Linked DNA regions of Saccharomyces cerevisiae S288C. The gene in region 1 interacts genetically with each later gene. Each region holds a gene or a part of one and is shown in the gene's direction. Other genes may lie near its edges.

Region 1 (6,011 bases):
AGATAAACTCAGTGAAAAGTACGATGATATTACCTCTTTTGGAGATGACACACAATCAATAAGTTTTGAATCTGATAGTAGCAGTGATGTTCAAAAACATTTAGTGTCTTTAGAAGACAATGGTATTCAAATATCAGCAGGAAGATCGGATGAAGATTACGGAGACATTTCTGGTTCTGAATCTGAGACTGATGCAAGTGCAGGGGAAAAGAAGAGCTCCAACCATAGTGAACAATCCGGTAATGATAGGGAACCTTGCTTGCAGACAGAATCGGAAACGGATATAGAAACATAGCCTATTTATGAATGAATGTAATATATGGCAAAGAGTATTATAGTATCGCATCATTTGAGAGAATACTTTATTTAAATGGCAAAAAATAGTTCTATGTGAGTGATCGAAAACTCAACTACTCAGATTGAAAAGAAAATAAATAAAACTAGGTGTTGTATGAACGTGAAAGAAATCGAGAGGGTTTAGAAGTAGTTTAGGGTCATTTTTCAGTACATTGGTTGGCCTGGCTTGAGTTGCAACCAGTGCCAAGCATCAGCGTTGGCCTCTCTCTTGTACATTGGTTGGCCTGGTCTCAAATTTAACCAGTGCCAAGCGTCGGCAACAGCCTCTCTTTTCGCCAAAGTGGTGTTTTGCTCTTTTTCAGCCGCCTCAGCAATAGTGGTGTTGATAAACAATAGCCCACTGGCGGTAGCGTTACTGAATGGTAAAAAAGCTATGTCATGATCACCTCCGAAATCCAAGTATCCAATAATGGCCTCGGCTGGCACCTGAGCGATATCTTCATCGGAACTAGCAGTGACAGAAACGGCCGCTAAAATAAAAGTGAGAAAGGTAGAAATGAATTTCATTTTCTCCAATATGTGAATTTACTGGAATTTGATGCAGGTGATGGTAGTAATTATCCATTATATAGAATATAAAAACAGATATAGGAAGGACACCTCAAACTACACCAGAATCAAGGACAGCTTTTATACATATAAGCCCTCGTCTCTGCGCTGTAAAGACACCAAGTTTCACTAGGTCCACGGCGACTCTGTACTGAAACAACTGAATATTTGAAACAGTAACGATGAATAGTTTGGCTCGATACCTTGAAAACAATCACTACAGGCGTCGCCCAGATGCGCACATCGTTGCTGGCATTGATGTACCAATGAAGAAATATAAGTGACAAACTTTATGAAAAGATAGAAAGAGGTTTACAAGATAAGAGAAAAATTATGCTGTGAAGATTAGTAATCGAAGTAACTGCTTATTCATTCAGTGCATGTTTTTCTAGGAATGCGTTTGATATGGGACATACATCTTACTATGCGACATTACCTTTTAGGGACATCAATGAGCAAGTGAACACTAGCAAATTAGGAAAACAACTTTAGCACGCCCAACTGCGTACTGAAACGCAGAAAACTATAGAGTTTCCCGAAACGGTGACAGCTGAGTTCGCTCAAATAAGAACAACACCATGTCTTGAAGCTTCTTCTATAGCGTAGAGTAAGTAGTGCCTTGTAGCCCTACCGTTTTACAATGCATGAGGTTACCCGCACTTATTATTTTTTTCTCTTTTTTTTTCTTAGCTATAAAAGGCAGATCAATGCAGCATTCATTGCTTTATTTGACTTTCCTTTACTATTTATTTACTTTCCATTTCTTATTTTAGTGTTATTTTATAACAGTAACGCAAATTTAACAGCCATTCGTAACACGTACAGTATCTCGTCGAGGTTGAACCCCTCCGGGGCGTTCTTGACCCATGAAGAATGTGGATTGGTGTTGCAATATATTTATTATTGGCTTGGACTGGAGAACAAATTTATCGATCTTGGGTGCAACAGTCTTTCTGTCGTCTGTTTTTTAGCAGATCTAAGGGTTTACCTTCGTGTGCCCGGATGAGGACCGTTGCAAGGATTGATAATACAACTATATACATCATTATCGTAGTGAATTGCACGAGTAACTTCTCGGCATGGGGTGAGTAAATTCATATTATGAAAGTAATTAAACTTACTACCTAAATAAGAGGATATCTATGTCTTATTGCTTGTATATATGAGTGGCTTGGAATGCTGCAAATACTGTTTAGGAAAAAGTAGATAACTAAAAGGTTTCTCCTTCCTTCGGTTGACGCAATTTCTTGTTCGCTGGGGTTGCCATTTCCTTTCTAAGATCAAGTAATAAAGTTTCCATGGTGTAGGCTCTTTTCCAGTCACGTAAGGTGTGGAAGTCAGTTTGGACCTCCCCCGTAGTTGGATTGACGCATGGTAGATTTATCTTGGAAATGAAAGTGACCTTTGGGGGAGAATCTGGATAGTTTGGGCCACAATCTATAGAAAGGGAATAGATTCTGTTTTCATGATTACTATGAGGGGGCCCTAAAATAGTGCCGTTCCATTTGGTCATGGTAATATCGTCGCTATCAGCTAAACCATAACTACATGATTCTGGACCAAACCCTTTTTCACCCTTTTCTAATTCTTCTAACAACCTAAAATTTCTTGGTCTGATTTACAATAGGACAGTGAGGGTACATTTCAAGAATTTGTTAGTATATGTTGAAATCCCTTTCAAAACTTATAATAACATACACTTTTGACATTTTTGTGTAAACGCTGCTTTCTTCTACGTTGCATATACAGAATAAGAATTTCACCACGACATCGAAATGTAATGAGCAGAGATTGTGTAGGAAGTTGATCTTATTTTAGTCTCTTATTTATCGCTAAAGGAGCAATGAAAATTGATAGCGTGTTACCCTAGGAATAATTCCTAACAATTTTTTCCATCTTAAAATCGAGAGGTAATAGTAAATAATGGATGTGAGAGCGGCATTGCAATGTTTCTTCAGTGCATTGAGTGGACGATTCACTGGAAAAAAATTGGGACTAGAGATCTATTCTATCCAGTACAAAATGAGCAATAGTGGTGGGTCCTCTCCTTTCTTGGAAAGCCCTGGAGGTTCGCCCGACGTAGGCAGTACAAATGGACAAAGTAATCGTCAGATTCAGGCGTTACAATTCAAGCTCAATACTCTACAAAATGAGTATGAGATTGAAAAATTGCAGCTACAAAAACAGACGAATATCTTAGAAAAGAAATATAAGGCCACGATTGACGAATTAGAGAAAGCATTGAATGATACAAAATATCTTTATGAAAGCAATGATAAATTGGAGCAAGAGTTAAAGAGTTTGAAAGAAAGATCAGCTAATTCGATGAATGATAAAGACAAATGCATAGAGGAATTGCGAACAACCCTCCAAAACAAAGATTTAGAAATGGAGACTTTAAGGCAGCAGTATGATTCGAAGTTATCAAAGGTCACTAACCAATGTGACCATTTCAAGTTGGAAGCAGAGAGCTCTCATTCGCTACTGATGAAATATGAGAAAGAAATAAAGAGGCAAAGTGTGGATATCAAAGATTTGCAGCATCAAGTGATGGAAAAGGATGATGAATTATCTTCGGTAAAAGCATCTAAGATGATAAACTCACATCCAAACTACTCCACCGAAGAGTTCAACGAGCTCACTGAAATGAACAAAATGATCCAAGACCAAGTTCAGTATACTAAAGAATTGGAACTAGCGAACATGCAACAAGCCAATGAATTGAAAAAACTTAAACAATCCCAGGACACTTCTACTTTTTGGAAATTAGAAAATGAAAAACTACAAAACAAATTAAGTCAATTACACGTACTCGAAAGTCAATATGAAAATCTTCAATTGGAAAACATAGATCTAAAATCGAAATTAACCAAATGGGAAATTTATAATGATAGTGACGATGATGATGATAACAATGTTAACAACAATGATAATAATAATAATAATAAAAATGATAATAATAATGATAATAATAATGATACAAGTAATAACAACAATATTAATAATAACAACAGAACCAAAAATAACATAAGAAATAACCCTGAAGAGATTATCCGGGACTGGAAACTTACCAAAAAGGAATGTTTAATTTTGACAGATATGAATGATAAGTTAAGATTGGACAATAACAATTTAAAGCTACTGAATGATGAAATGGCTTTAGAGAGAAACCAAATACTAGATTTGAACAAGAATTATGAAAACAACATAGTAAATTTGAAAAGATTAAATCACGAGTTAGAACAACAGAAGAGTTTATCTTTCGAAGAATGTCGATTACTGCGCGAACAATTAGATGGCCTATATTCCGCACAAAATAATGCTTTACTAGAGGTCGAAAATAGTGAAACACATGCGTCAAACAAGAACGTAAACGAAGATATGAATAATTTGATCGATACTTATAAAAATAAGACAGAAGATTTAACAAACGAACTAAAGAAGCTAAACGATCAGTTATTATCAAATTCCAATGATGTAGAAACACAAAGAAAAAAGAGGAAGTTGACAAGTGACCAAATTGGTTTAAATTATTCACAGAGGCTCAACGAATTGCAACTGGAAAATGTAAGTGTCTCGAGGGAGTTGAGTAAAGCACAAACTACAATTCAGCTACTACAAGAAAAATTAGAAAAGTTAACTAAACTAAAGGAGAAAAAAATACGTATACTGCAATTACGTGACGGCCCCTTCATAAAAGATCAATTTATCAAGAAAAACAAATTACTTCTTCTAGAAAAGGAAAATGCAGATTTACTTAACGAATTGAAAAAGAATAATCCAGCAGTGGAAACAGTACCCATTTCTGTTTATGATTCACTAAATTTCGAGTTGAAACAGTTCGAACAGGAAGTTTTTAAGTCAAATAAAAGATTTTCCAGACTAAAGCAAGTTTTCAATAATAAATCTTTGGAGTTTATTGACGTTGTAAACTCATTATTAGGTTTTAAATTGGAATTTCAACAAGATAGTCGTGTGAAAATATTTTCCTGTTTCAAACCTGAAAAATATTTGATTGCTGATCTAAATGAAAACACTTTGAAATCTAACCTTGATGCAGATATAGAAGGATGGGATGATCTCATGAATCTATGGGTGGAAGATAGAGGTCAACTTCCGTGCTTTTTGGCAACAATAACATTGCGTCTGTGGGAACAGCGACAAGCCAAATAAGTGTATATACATTTCTAATAGATAATAGTAATCGGTTTTATAATATGATAAACTCCTATCCGCTGACATAATTGTTGGTCACAAAATTCTTTTATCTTTCTTCATCATTGACCTTTTATGATTCCTTTGGTATGCAAAAAAAAAAAAATTGTGTTGAAGAATAAAAACAAATTACAGAATAAGTCACACATGATATAAAAAGAAGCCCAGTTTTTCATAGCTATTAAGGGGGCATAAATGCACTTATATGAGGGAAGGTGATTCTAATTCAAAAAAATCTGCGGATGTTGCTGTCCTCTCCATCATCCTTACGGGTTCGACCTTAACATTGATCTACACATATAAAAGGTATTTAACTCAATTCAAAAGAACAAATGATATACCGCGAAGAATATTTCGTAAACACTGGCTTTATGGTAAAGTCACGTCTGTAGGTGACGGGGACAACTTTCATTTCTTTCACATGCCAGGTGGTATAAGAGGTGGATGGGGATGGTTACGACCCGTCCCACAAATGATCAAGAATGATTCTACGGCAGAAAAGCTTGTTGGAGATAGCAGAAATATGAGGTTTTTCAATTTCAATTGGATTACGCATGGGAGGTCCACCAAAAGTAAAATACAAAAAGCTAAAAGCCAGTTCTTGAAGCTAAATGTACCTTACAAAAATAGGAAAAACCTGCCAACTATTCCTATAAGATTATGTGGAATCGATGCCCCAGAAAGAGCACATTTCGGTAACCCAGCTCAACCGTTTGGTAATGAAGCTTTAATTTGGTTACAAAACCGAATTTTGGGAAAGAAAGTATGGGTCAAGCCTTTATCTATAGATCAGTACAACCGTTGTGTAGCTCGAGTGTCATACTGGGACTGGTTTGGTGGGTGGAAAGACTTAAGCTTAGAAATGCTCAAGGATGGATTAGCGGTTGTTT
Region 2 (5,588 bases), on another chromosome or scaffold:
AAGATTGCATCTATGAATGACACTAAAATATGTTTCTCTTTTTGTATTTGCTTTTGATTAAATAATGGTCAATTTGCGCCCCCCACCTTATATAGTTTAGAGAAAGACGTGTAAATATTTTTTAAAAAATTGATACTGCTCTAATGAGCCTAAATCTCCTTTCTTCGCTTGTATATATGCGTATTCTGTATGTTTGTCCAGGCAGATTTTTCGGCTTTTTTTACCAGCTTTTATTATTAAAATGTGATAACCTTAATTGAAGGTTGCGATACAAAATAATCCTTTATTACGCATAACCAAGGAAAAGAGAAAATCAGTGCACATATGGGTTTACCTGAAGTTAACTTTCTTCGAAAAAACTGCATACTTGTGGAGTTAAAATTATTCTATCAAACAGTATACCCACCGAAGGAACTATATTGGAATAACCGAATAACTGCAGAATTGAGTACATTCTCCAATATTAAGTATGCAAGGCCGACTTTCGCAGTAAATAATGGCACATTTCAGAGAACAAGACCGAAATTAGACTTGGTACTGGCTTCATCTGATATTCGTAAGCTGGCTACGGTTTTATTTAATTTAAAAGCTCTCATAATGAATACGAAGGGTGAGGAACCCACTCTAACCACGATGACTAGTGTCCAAACGAACGAAGAGAAAAATGATAACCTGGAACAGAAATATTCAAGTCTGCTAGATAGATGGAATGGGAAAGTAGAAGTGCATGATTCTCCTTTCCTTCAACTCCAACGGGACAGCAACCTTTTGTTTGCTGAGAGGCCGGTACGTTACGTTAGCACTACAGAAGGTGAAGGCGTGGACATATCTAGTGAAGAGTTTTTCAGGTTAGAGGAAGAACAGTGCCGAAGGAATTATGATGTTTTGGTCGATGAACATTCTACACCATCAGTCGGGATGAAAGACGGCCAATACGGACCAAATATAATTCACTTTGAACCGTCGCTGTACCACACATATTCTTCTCTACCAATGAGTATGAAATTTTGGTTAAATGGTCTAGAAGACGACGAAACGACGATGATGAACATTGATGAGAAGTCAGCCGAAAATCTGGATATATTATTACATGGTTTCAAAGGATTTTCGAACAAGCGCGTTAAAGGATGAATTAATCATCCTCTTCATGTACTACTTATGTCCAATTTGAGTGTAAAATCACAGGTACAAGGCTTATCCATATTCGTATATATCTTCATAATGTTTCATAATTGCTTCAGAAAATTATTCAAAACGTCTTGTGATATTCATTAGGTGAAATCGTAGTTTGCCTGATACTTGAAAGAATCTCACCTGGAGAATGGGTGTTTTCACTAAGATTCGTTAATTTCCACTAATGATTAATTGTTAACTGTTTAACGCGACGCGTAATAAAGTTTCCTGAATACGCCAACATATGGGAACATATAGATTAAATTAATAAGAAAGCTTGGGAAAAATAATTGAGAAGGGCAAGAAGTGACGTAAATATACTAGACGTACTATTATGGTTTCAGTTATAGACAAGCTTGTTTTTGACTTTGGTGGGAAAACTCTGGTCTCTCTCGCACCAGATAATAATACTTTGTGTGTAGCCAATAAAAATGGCTTAACCAAGATTCTGAAGACAAATAACCCAGAAGAAGAGCCAGAGACTTTAGATTCTTCCAAATTGGTCTCGTCTATAAAATGCTATTCAAACTCGCACTTTCTGATGACTACAATGCAAGGTGATGCTCTTAGGTATAACATCGATTCTAGTCAAGAAGAATTATTGGCTAGATTTGCTTTACCCCTACGTGACTGCTGTGTTATTCATTCAGGTAAAATGGCCGTATTTGGAGGAGACGACTTAGAACTAATCCTTTTGGAATTGGACGATGAAACACACAAAAAACATGCCATTAAAATCGATGAACAAGTTTCTCAAATTTCTTACAATTCACAGATGAATATTTTAGCAGTTTCAATGATAAATGGTAAGGTACAAATTTTTTCTCTGACATCTACTATTCCAAACAAAGTTCATGAGTTAAATGATTACATAGTGGCCAATTCATATGATGATACACACAGAGATAAGATACTCTCGAATATGATGGATGATATAGATAAAGACAATGATAATGACCTGAGTGAAACGGCTGATCCAGATGAGAACAATGTAGCTGATCCAGAATTCTGTGCTGCTAATAGAATTTGCACGAGAGTGGCTTGGCATCCGAAGGGTCTGCATTTTGCGCTACCATGTGCAGATGATACAGTAAAAATATTCTCTATAAAGGGATATTCCCTACAAAAGACGTTGTCCACAAATCTCTCATCAACAAAGGCTCATTTCATTGATTTGCAATTTGACCCGTTACGTGGAACTTACATTGCGGCAGTAGATTTAAATAATAAGTTAACGGTATGGAATTGGGAAACTTCCGAGATCCACTACACCAGGGAATTCAAAAGAAAAATTACTAATATTGCCTGGAAAATCCAAGCGGACTCAAAAACTCTAGACCTTGTTTTAGGTACCTGGTCCGGTAGTATAGCCATTGTCCAAAATTTGGCAGAGTCCGTAGTATCTAATATACCTGACCAATCTGTTGCTGAATCTTCAACTAAACATGGGCTTTTTGTAGACTCCGAATCTGACTTGGAAAACTTAGAGGGAAATGATGATATAAACAAAAGCGATAAGCTATTTTCAGATATTACTCAAGAAGCGAATGCGGAAGATGTGTTCACTCAAACACACGACGGCCCCAGTGGATTAAGTGAAAAGAGAAAATACAACTTCGAAGATGAAGAAGACTTTATTGATGATGACGATGGTGCTGGTTATATTAGTGGCAAAAAACCACATAATGAACATTCTTATTCGAGAGTACACAAGACTCATTCGTTTCCAATCAGTTTGGCAAACACAGGAAAATTTCGTTATATGCCTTTTTCTCCAGCGGGAACACCTTTTGGCTTTACTGACAGGCGTTATTTGACAATGAATGAAGTGGGCTACGTATCTACTGTCAAGAATAGTGAGCAATACAGCATAACTGTCTCTTTTTTTGATGTTGGACGTTTTAGAGAATACCATTTCGAGGACTTATTTGGCTACGATTTATGCTTCCTAAATGAAAAAGGCACTTTATTTGGCCAATCCAAAACTGGGCAGATACAATATAGGCCACACGATAGCATACATTCAAACTGGACCAAGATTATTCCTTTGCAAGCTGGTGAGAGAATAACAAGTGTGGCAGCCACCCCGGTTCGCGTTATTGTTGGTACATCATTAGGCTATTTCAGAAGTTTCAATCAATTCGGGGTTCCATTTGCTGTTGAAAAGACATCCCCAATTGTAGCGCTTACTGCTCAGAATTATAGGGTTTTTTCAGTACATTATTCGCAGTTTCATGGCCTTTCATACTCTTTATCTGAATTGGGTACTTCTAGTAAAAGGTACTATAAAAGAGAGTGTCCACTTCCAATGAGTTTACCAAACATTAATTCTGATATGAAAAAAGACGCAAATCTTGACTACTACAATTTTAATCCGATGGGCATCAAAAGTTTGTTCTTTTCAAGCTACGGAGATCCATGCATTTTTGGGTCCGACAACACGCTTCTATTGTTATCAAAGTGGAGATCACCAGAAGAAAGTAAATGGCTCCCTATTCTAGATAGCAACATGGAAATATGGAAGATGTCAGGAGGGAAGGAAACGACAGATATACATGTCTGGCCCTTGGCTTTGGCGTATGACACATTGAATTGTATCTTAGTTAAGGGCAAGCATATATGGCCCGAGTTTCCCCTTCCGTTGCCATCCGAAATGGAGATTAGAATGCCAGTATTTGTTAAGAGTAAATTACTAGAGGAAAACAAAGCTATATTAAATAAAAAGAACGAAATTGGAGCTGACACCGAAGCGGAAGAAGGGGAAGAAGACAAAGAAATACAGATTCCTGTTTCTATGGCGGCGGAAGAAGAGTATCTGCGCAGCAAGGTTTTGTCAGAGCTGTTGACAGATACACTCGAAAATGACGGTGAAATGTACGGCAACGAAAATGAGGTATTGGCAGCATTGAACGGTGCATATGATAAGGCTTTGTTACGTTTATTTGCGTCTGCATGCTCAGACCAAAATGTTGAAAAGGCTCTTTCGCTTGCTCATGAATTAAAACAAGATAGAGCACTTACTGCAGCCGTTAAGATATCAGAAAGAGCTGAGCTGCCCTCTCTCGTTAAAAAAATTAATAATATAAGGGAAGCTAGATATGAACAGCAATTGAAATAAAAAAATGTAAAATATATATACGCAAGAGACAATTATTTGATACCTGTTCATTTGTTCAAATCATCGTTCAAAATGCTCCCACATTAACATATATTTCTTTGAATGCGACGATAATAAAGAGTTACGTTGAACATGATCTGAGCTGGAAGCGTCCTTGCGAATTTTCGCGAAAGGAAAAAGTGAAAAAATATGAAAAAAAAAAAAAGAGATGACATTTTATAGATGAGCTTTGATTAAACAGTGTAACACCTGGTCCTGTACCGTAAATATTCAAATAAGCATCAATTCAAAGTTCTTTATTTCTTCTTTAGCATTTCAAAATTATAGAAAATCTAGAAAAGATGTCAGATGTTACCCAACAGAAAAAGAGGAAAAGATCCAAAGGAGAAGTTAATCCATCAAAACCCACAGTAGACGAAGAAATCACAGATCCATCCTCAAACGAAGATGAACAACTAGAAGTTTCGGATGAAGAAGACGCATTGGAATCTGAAGAAGAATTCGAGGGTGAAAATCCAGCCGATAAAAGAAGGAGGCTTGCAAAGCAATATCTGGAGAATCTGAAAAGCGAAGCTAATGACATTTTAACTGATAATAGGAACGCTGAAGAAAAAGATTTAAACAATCTCAAGGAAAGAACAATCGACGAGTACAACAATTTTGATGCTGGAGATTTGGATAAGGATATCATTGCGTCCAGGTTAAAAGAAGACGTTGCTGAACAGCAAGGCCGAGTCTTCAGATATTTTGGCGATAAACTTCTAATATCTGAAGCAAAACAGAGCTTTACCAGGGTAGGGGAAAATAACCTTACTTGCATTAGTTGTTTCCAACCCGTTTTAAACAAATACACCTTCGAGGAATCATCTAATGGCGATAAGAACAAAGGTAGGTTATTTGCCTATACAGTTAGCAAAGACTTACAACTCACCAAATATGACATTACTGACTTTAGCAAAAGACCAAAGAAGCTAAAATACGCTAAAGGAGGAGCAAAATATATACCTACGAGCAAGCACGAATATGAGAATACCACAGAAGGCCATTATGACGAAATCTTAACTGTAGCAGCCTCACCAGATGGTAAATATGTTGTCACAGGTGGAAGAGATAGGAAGTTAATTGTATGGAGCACAGAATCTCTATCACCCGTTAAAGTTATTCCAACAAAGGATCGCCGAGGGGAAGTTTTATCGTTGGCTTTTAGAAAAAATTCTGATCAGTTATATGCATCCTGCGCAGATTTTAAGATAAGAACATATTCAATAAATCAATTTTCCCAGTTGGAGATTCTTTA
Region 3 (5,013 bases), on another chromosome or scaffold:
TGAATACTTTGACGGTGATACTGGAAGAGGGCTTGGCGCTTCACACCAATGTGGTTGGACTGCTCTTGTGGCCAAATGGATAAGTGATGTAGGTATATCCTGTGTAAGACTACCTCGTACGCCAAGATCATCTGTGGCAACGACCGCTTCAACAGAGAGCTCTGAGCAAGGTCCCAAAATGAAGAGAATGGCAAGACGTAAGAGTGCAAAGTCTTTGGTAAACTACACTGCCACCATTTTGGACTTAACCGAAGAAGAAAAGCGCCATCATAGGATAGGGGGCACCCATTCTGGGTTGACACCACAAAGCAGCATTTCAAGTGACAAGGCTAGACATTTGATGGAGGAAATGAATGAAGAGGAAGGTATTCACGAAACTGTGGTACCTGAAGATCGTCACAACTTTGAAACCAAGCTTATAGGCAAGCTAAAAGATAAGGTGAAAAATATGAAAGTAACTGACAAGGCTAAAGATGAGGATATAGACCCAATGGACCCAATGAGTCCGTTGAATAAGGATGTGTCTTGATTAACTGCGGTGAACCTTCAATATCTGTACGTTTGAAAAATATTTCCAACGATATACCTCTATATTTTGATCTATAGAATATTTAATTGCAGTAGTTTTTTATCAGTAAGGTAGCGTTGATATTACTAGTGAAGGTAACTCTATAGTTCCTTGACATGTTCTTTAGATTCTAGAGGTTTTTTATTGAATTTGTTTTCCCACCTTATTTAAACTTTGAGAACAAAACTAGCAAAATCAATAATATAAGGACTGCGATAATGGCATAGCTTATGAATTTATTAGCAACTAGCCTTCTAGTCATTGTTTTTAGTGTCTTTATACTTTTATCCACATATGAATCCGCTTGAAACAAGGTCTGTCTTGCATTTTCCAAAGTTTCTCTCTGTGACCTTAAATCCATCATTATTTGTGACCCTATTCCTTCAGTTTCATTTGCTATTCTACTGGCATCTTTTAGTCTATCTCCCGATTTCTGTAAGATTGCATGGTTGCTCAACAACTGTTGCCTTTGGTCATCGTCAATATTAGATGCGTTAAGATCTCCAAAAAGTCTATCACGATCGCCTGAGTCTACTAAGGATTGCAGTGGTCGTTTGATATCGCTCTGTATAGTCTTCTTCCATTCTCTTAACTTCGCCTTGTACGTAGCACGTTCTGAGGCATCGCCTATGCTGTTATTAACTTCTACATCCATCTGATCTAGCAGGTCAAACAACTCATCTTGTTGCTGTTCTACGTGCTTCAGTGTAGTATTTCTCTGTGATAACGGTTGTGAGGGGGCCTCTGCTAAGCTCGCTTTGGCTTGTTCTAAGGTTGTTTTGAAGTCAGATTCGTATGATATTAATAGGGAACTCATAGTAAGCCATGCAGCAATGTAAAGAGTGCGGTTGATTCGTTTTATACAACTTAATGTAAAGCTTTACACTTTTCCAAGAATAGTAATTGCCCTATATAGCACGACTACTCCACTCCTAACTTTCATTGAAAATTAGACAGTCATGTGATCAGTAATATCGTCCATAGTGATATTTGTTTGTTTACCATTTTTGTTCTTATTTACTCTCTAATATGATTCTAGTATATGAAAGATACCACTGTCGTAGCTCGTATCAAAATAAAACTAGTCAGTCGTTGACCATTGAGCATATCGTCCGAGAATAAGGCTTTACTGTATTATTTTTTGATATCCACACGTTATTGAGCTCATTCACTGATCGACACATTTAGGCGGCTTTTCCGTTTGGCTGAAGCAACTTTGAAACACAACTACGACATTATAATTAAGCGCCTAAATAAGTGAATTTTGTGCCATAGGGTTGGACCGTGTATATATAAGAGCTATTCACTATTTTAATATTTGTTTTGGCATTTGAAACTCGTTGACATAAGCTTTATTATTAGGATGAATAACTCCAAAATTCCTAAACTTTCCTTTCATAGTGATCCAAACAACGTCACTCGAGACTTTCCAAAGACAAAACGACAGAAGGTTCAGAAAAGAGAAATGGATATGATACTAACTCCTAATAACAACAAGCTAAATATATTGCACAGCTCTGGATCTGGTATACGGCGCTGCTACACTGATGACACCTCCGCTACGTATACTAAGAAACTAACCTTTGGGGGGGACCCCAAGATTATTGAAAGGGTTAAGAACAATGAACGTAAGGTTAGAAAAGACATAGATTCACTACTGAATGCTATTTCTGAAATTGAAAAGGAATCTGTTCGTATTCATGCCAGGGAACTACCTGCAATAACATTAGAATTAGATGCAAAAGTCAAAGCGTGCAGGGAGCTACAAAATGAGATTGATGGACTATCAACGGAGATGGACTTGAAGGATAATCAATGTGATCTTCAAAGAAAGAATGTTGAGCTATCATCAAAAAATATAGTGTCTATGCATGCAGTAAAAGTACAAGAGTTCGAAAACGATTTAGAGGAAGAGCTATCGAATGCCAAAAGGGAGTGGACGTATAAATTAATGGAAGTAGAAAATTTGAAACCTGACGAAAGGTTAACTGACGAAATGCGACAGCTTAAAACAGAATTCGAGGAGGTCAATAGGAAACTATTCATTCTACAGAATGAAAATGAGAACGAGTGTAAAAACTACAAAAAAGAATTGGACAAGAAATTCGAGATATTCAAGAAAGTTAAGAACGATGCTAGAATTGAATTAGATGGGGAGCAAGAAAGACTTTCGAAAGTTTTAAAAGACCTACAAGACACCCATGGTGAACTGAAAGAAAATATTAAGACGTGTAGAGATGAGTTTAACGATTTTGAAAAAAGGATTGGAGAGGCAGAAGTGAACTTCCATAGCATGGAACTTGCCGTTGTTCCTCTCAAAAAGAAGCTTGCTTCTACATCACAAGCATTGACGCAAGTGCAGGAGGAGAAGAAGCAAGTCGAAGGAGAAGCAAACAATTGGAAGAAGAAGTACGTTAATGAACTAGAAAAGGTTCAACAGGAATTATACACACGACAAAATCTGGCCACTTCAATTGAAGAAATCAAAGGATACACCCGATGCTTTGCGTATGCCAATGAACGACAAATGCCTGATGAATTCCATATCAACTATGTGGATCGGTGCATTTGCGAGAATAGTGGAGAAAAACGGGTACAAGTATTTGATAGAGTAGTTCTCGAAGAAATCCATAAGGATCACAAACGCTTATATAACGAATGCATTCCGTTCCTGGAAAAATACATCAGCAAGTTAATTAACTGCAGCATTATAGTGGTTTCGCAGCAACCCACAGCACCAATGAAAAAGACTTTGCTAAAACAGTTAATTGAGCAGTACGGTGAGAATTATAAGATGACATTGAACATTTTGCATCTTGACGGAAGTATTAAACACAGTGACGTTGGATTAGATAACCCAACAGAAATTAGAGATCTGTCACAAGATGAAGAATGCATGAACATTTTAACTTTAGATACCAAGTTGGGAAAAGATGAAGAGTCCCATTCAATGAATATATATATCGGTAGTATGTCCACGGTACAGCTGAATAGAGAGCTTGATGATGCTCCCTCAGTCCTTTCGCATATTCTCACTAAAACAAAGCAGTGCTTTGTCTTCAAGATTAACGCTGGTGAAAACATCGAGAAGGCTCTAGCCTTAGCGGGAAAGCTGAAAAGAACAATAACATTACCTCAGCTAGATTAAGAAGGCCAGATCTTGTGCGCTACAATCACTTCGTCTCGTTCCCTTACATAAAAAACTTACGTAGCTACATTGTCGTGCGTGGCATCAACCTAATTATCCTAGCAAAATAAAAGAGAATGTTACGGGACTAACAGGCGGATGTAAATTACTCACTTAAACGCAGCCAAACATCATCGAGAACTTAGGGTAGCGTGCCACAAAATTTGCATGAATAAACTTTTGTTTTCCTAATTCGACAGCATTCCCTTGTTCGCAACACTTCACTGATAGGAAATCGAATAGCGCACACTCTCTTCTGGGACATACCCCAATGCGGTAAAGCCACGAAAACACCGCGCGTAAAGGGGTAAACAAGTCCATTCCTACAACCTCTTGGAGAAATTCTTTACCTACTACAACCCCGCGCCTGATACTTTCAGTATTCATGACAACTCGAGCCAGATCCCGCTCGTGGGCGTGTTCATTCTGTGACGATCCACTAGCGACTTCTTTGTTCAGCCTGCAAGAGACGCGTTCAAGGAAGAATTCGCGATTTTACTTCTTCGAGGGAATCTCGCACCGCGTTAGTTAGTTTCCAACCTTGAAAGCATCGGAGACGCATTTTTGGCGATTTTGCTGGATTGAGCTGAATGGTGCCAGGTCGAGGCTGGGAGGGAGACTAACTCGAAAGTGACGAAGACTCGAAAATTAAAAAAAAAGATACTGCAGAAGGCAAGATTGAGAATGGAGTAAAGGCAGCGTGGGTCCCCTGTGGAAACCGCAGTTTTCCTGCGCCAAGTGGTACCGGTGCGAGTGCAGCAATTAATCTCTCGATATTTTCTTAGTATCTCTTTTTATATAAGAATATATTTTGGAATTGGTAATGCTTATCTTCAATAGTTTCTTAGTTGAATGCACACTTAAGAGCAAATTGGCCAAGGAGTTCTTCGTTCGCTTTAATTTATTTCCTGGTTATTGTCAATTTATTCATCCCATCTCCCCAGGATAGAAGAAATTAGTGTAATTTTGCTGACAATACATTTTAACGACGATAACAATAATAGCAATTAAATAAAATAGCACTACCACCACTCCACTGCTCGTTAGCTATTTCTGTAAAATAAATAAAAAGATCATGAACCACTCAGAAGTGAAAACTGGGTTAATTGTCACTGCAAAGCAGACATATTACCCAATTGAATTGTCCAATGCAGAACTACTAACTCATTACGAAACCATACAGGAATATCACGAGGAAATCTCTCAAAATGTGCTGGTCCAATCTTCCAAGACAAAACCAGACATAAAATTGATCGAT

Evidence for each region.
Region 2: mutations in MAD1 (region 1) and CTF4 together harm fitness more than expected from each alone (negative genetic interaction), as found in Saccharomyces cerevisiae (6 studies listed by BioGRID, with this or other methods).
Region 3: mutations in MAD1 (region 1) and CIK1 together harm fitness more than expected from each alone (negative genetic interaction), as found in Saccharomyces cerevisiae (6 studies listed by BioGRID, with this or other methods).

The regions. Positions count from the first base shown.
Region 1 is NC_001139.9:344,290-350,300, forward strand, and holds MAD1 (coiled-coil domain-containing protein MAD1), read left to right. Parts: upstream 1-2,829; coding exon 2,830-5,079; downstream 5,080-6,011. Other genes in the region: LIF1 (Lif1p), read left to right, coding at 1-295; MF(ALPHA)2 (Mf(Alpha)2p), read right to left, coding at 502-864; YGL088W (uncharacterized protein), read left to right, coding at 1,547-1,912; E2 ubiquitin-conjugating protein MMS2, read right to left, coding at 2,117-2,519, 2,605-2,615; LCL3 (Lcl3p), read left to right, coding at 5,327-6,011. UniProt on the Saccharomyces cerevisiae protein: Central component of the spindle assembly checkpoint. Thought to recruit MAD2 to unattached kinetochores. During checkpoint activity, MAD2 is relayed from the MAD1-MAD2 complex to the mitotic checkpoint complex (MCC).
Region 2 is NC_001148.4:797,727-803,314, forward strand, and holds CTF4 (chromatin-binding protein CTF4), read left to right. Parts: upstream 1-1,507; coding exon 1,508-4,291; downstream 4,292-5,588. Other genes in the region: MSS18 (Mss18p), read left to right, coding at 325-1,131; ribosomal RNA-processing protein RRP9, read left to right, coding at 4,633-5,588. UniProt on the Saccharomyces cerevisiae protein: Accessory factor for DNA replication. It plays a role in accurately duplicating the genome in vivo.
Region 3 is NC_001145.3:657,814-662,826, forward strand, and holds CIK1 (Cik1p), read left to right. Parts: upstream 1-1,931; coding exon 1,932-3,716; downstream 3,717-5,013. Other genes in the region: YMR196W (uncharacterized protein), read left to right, coding at 1-529; v-SNARE protein VTI1, read right to left, coding at 732-1,385; cyclin CLN1, read left to right, coding at 4,831-5,013. UniProt on the Saccharomyces cerevisiae protein: Together with the minus end-directed microtubule motor KAR3, involved in spindle midzone assembly, karyogamy (nuclear fusion) during mating, and with an essential function in meiosis I.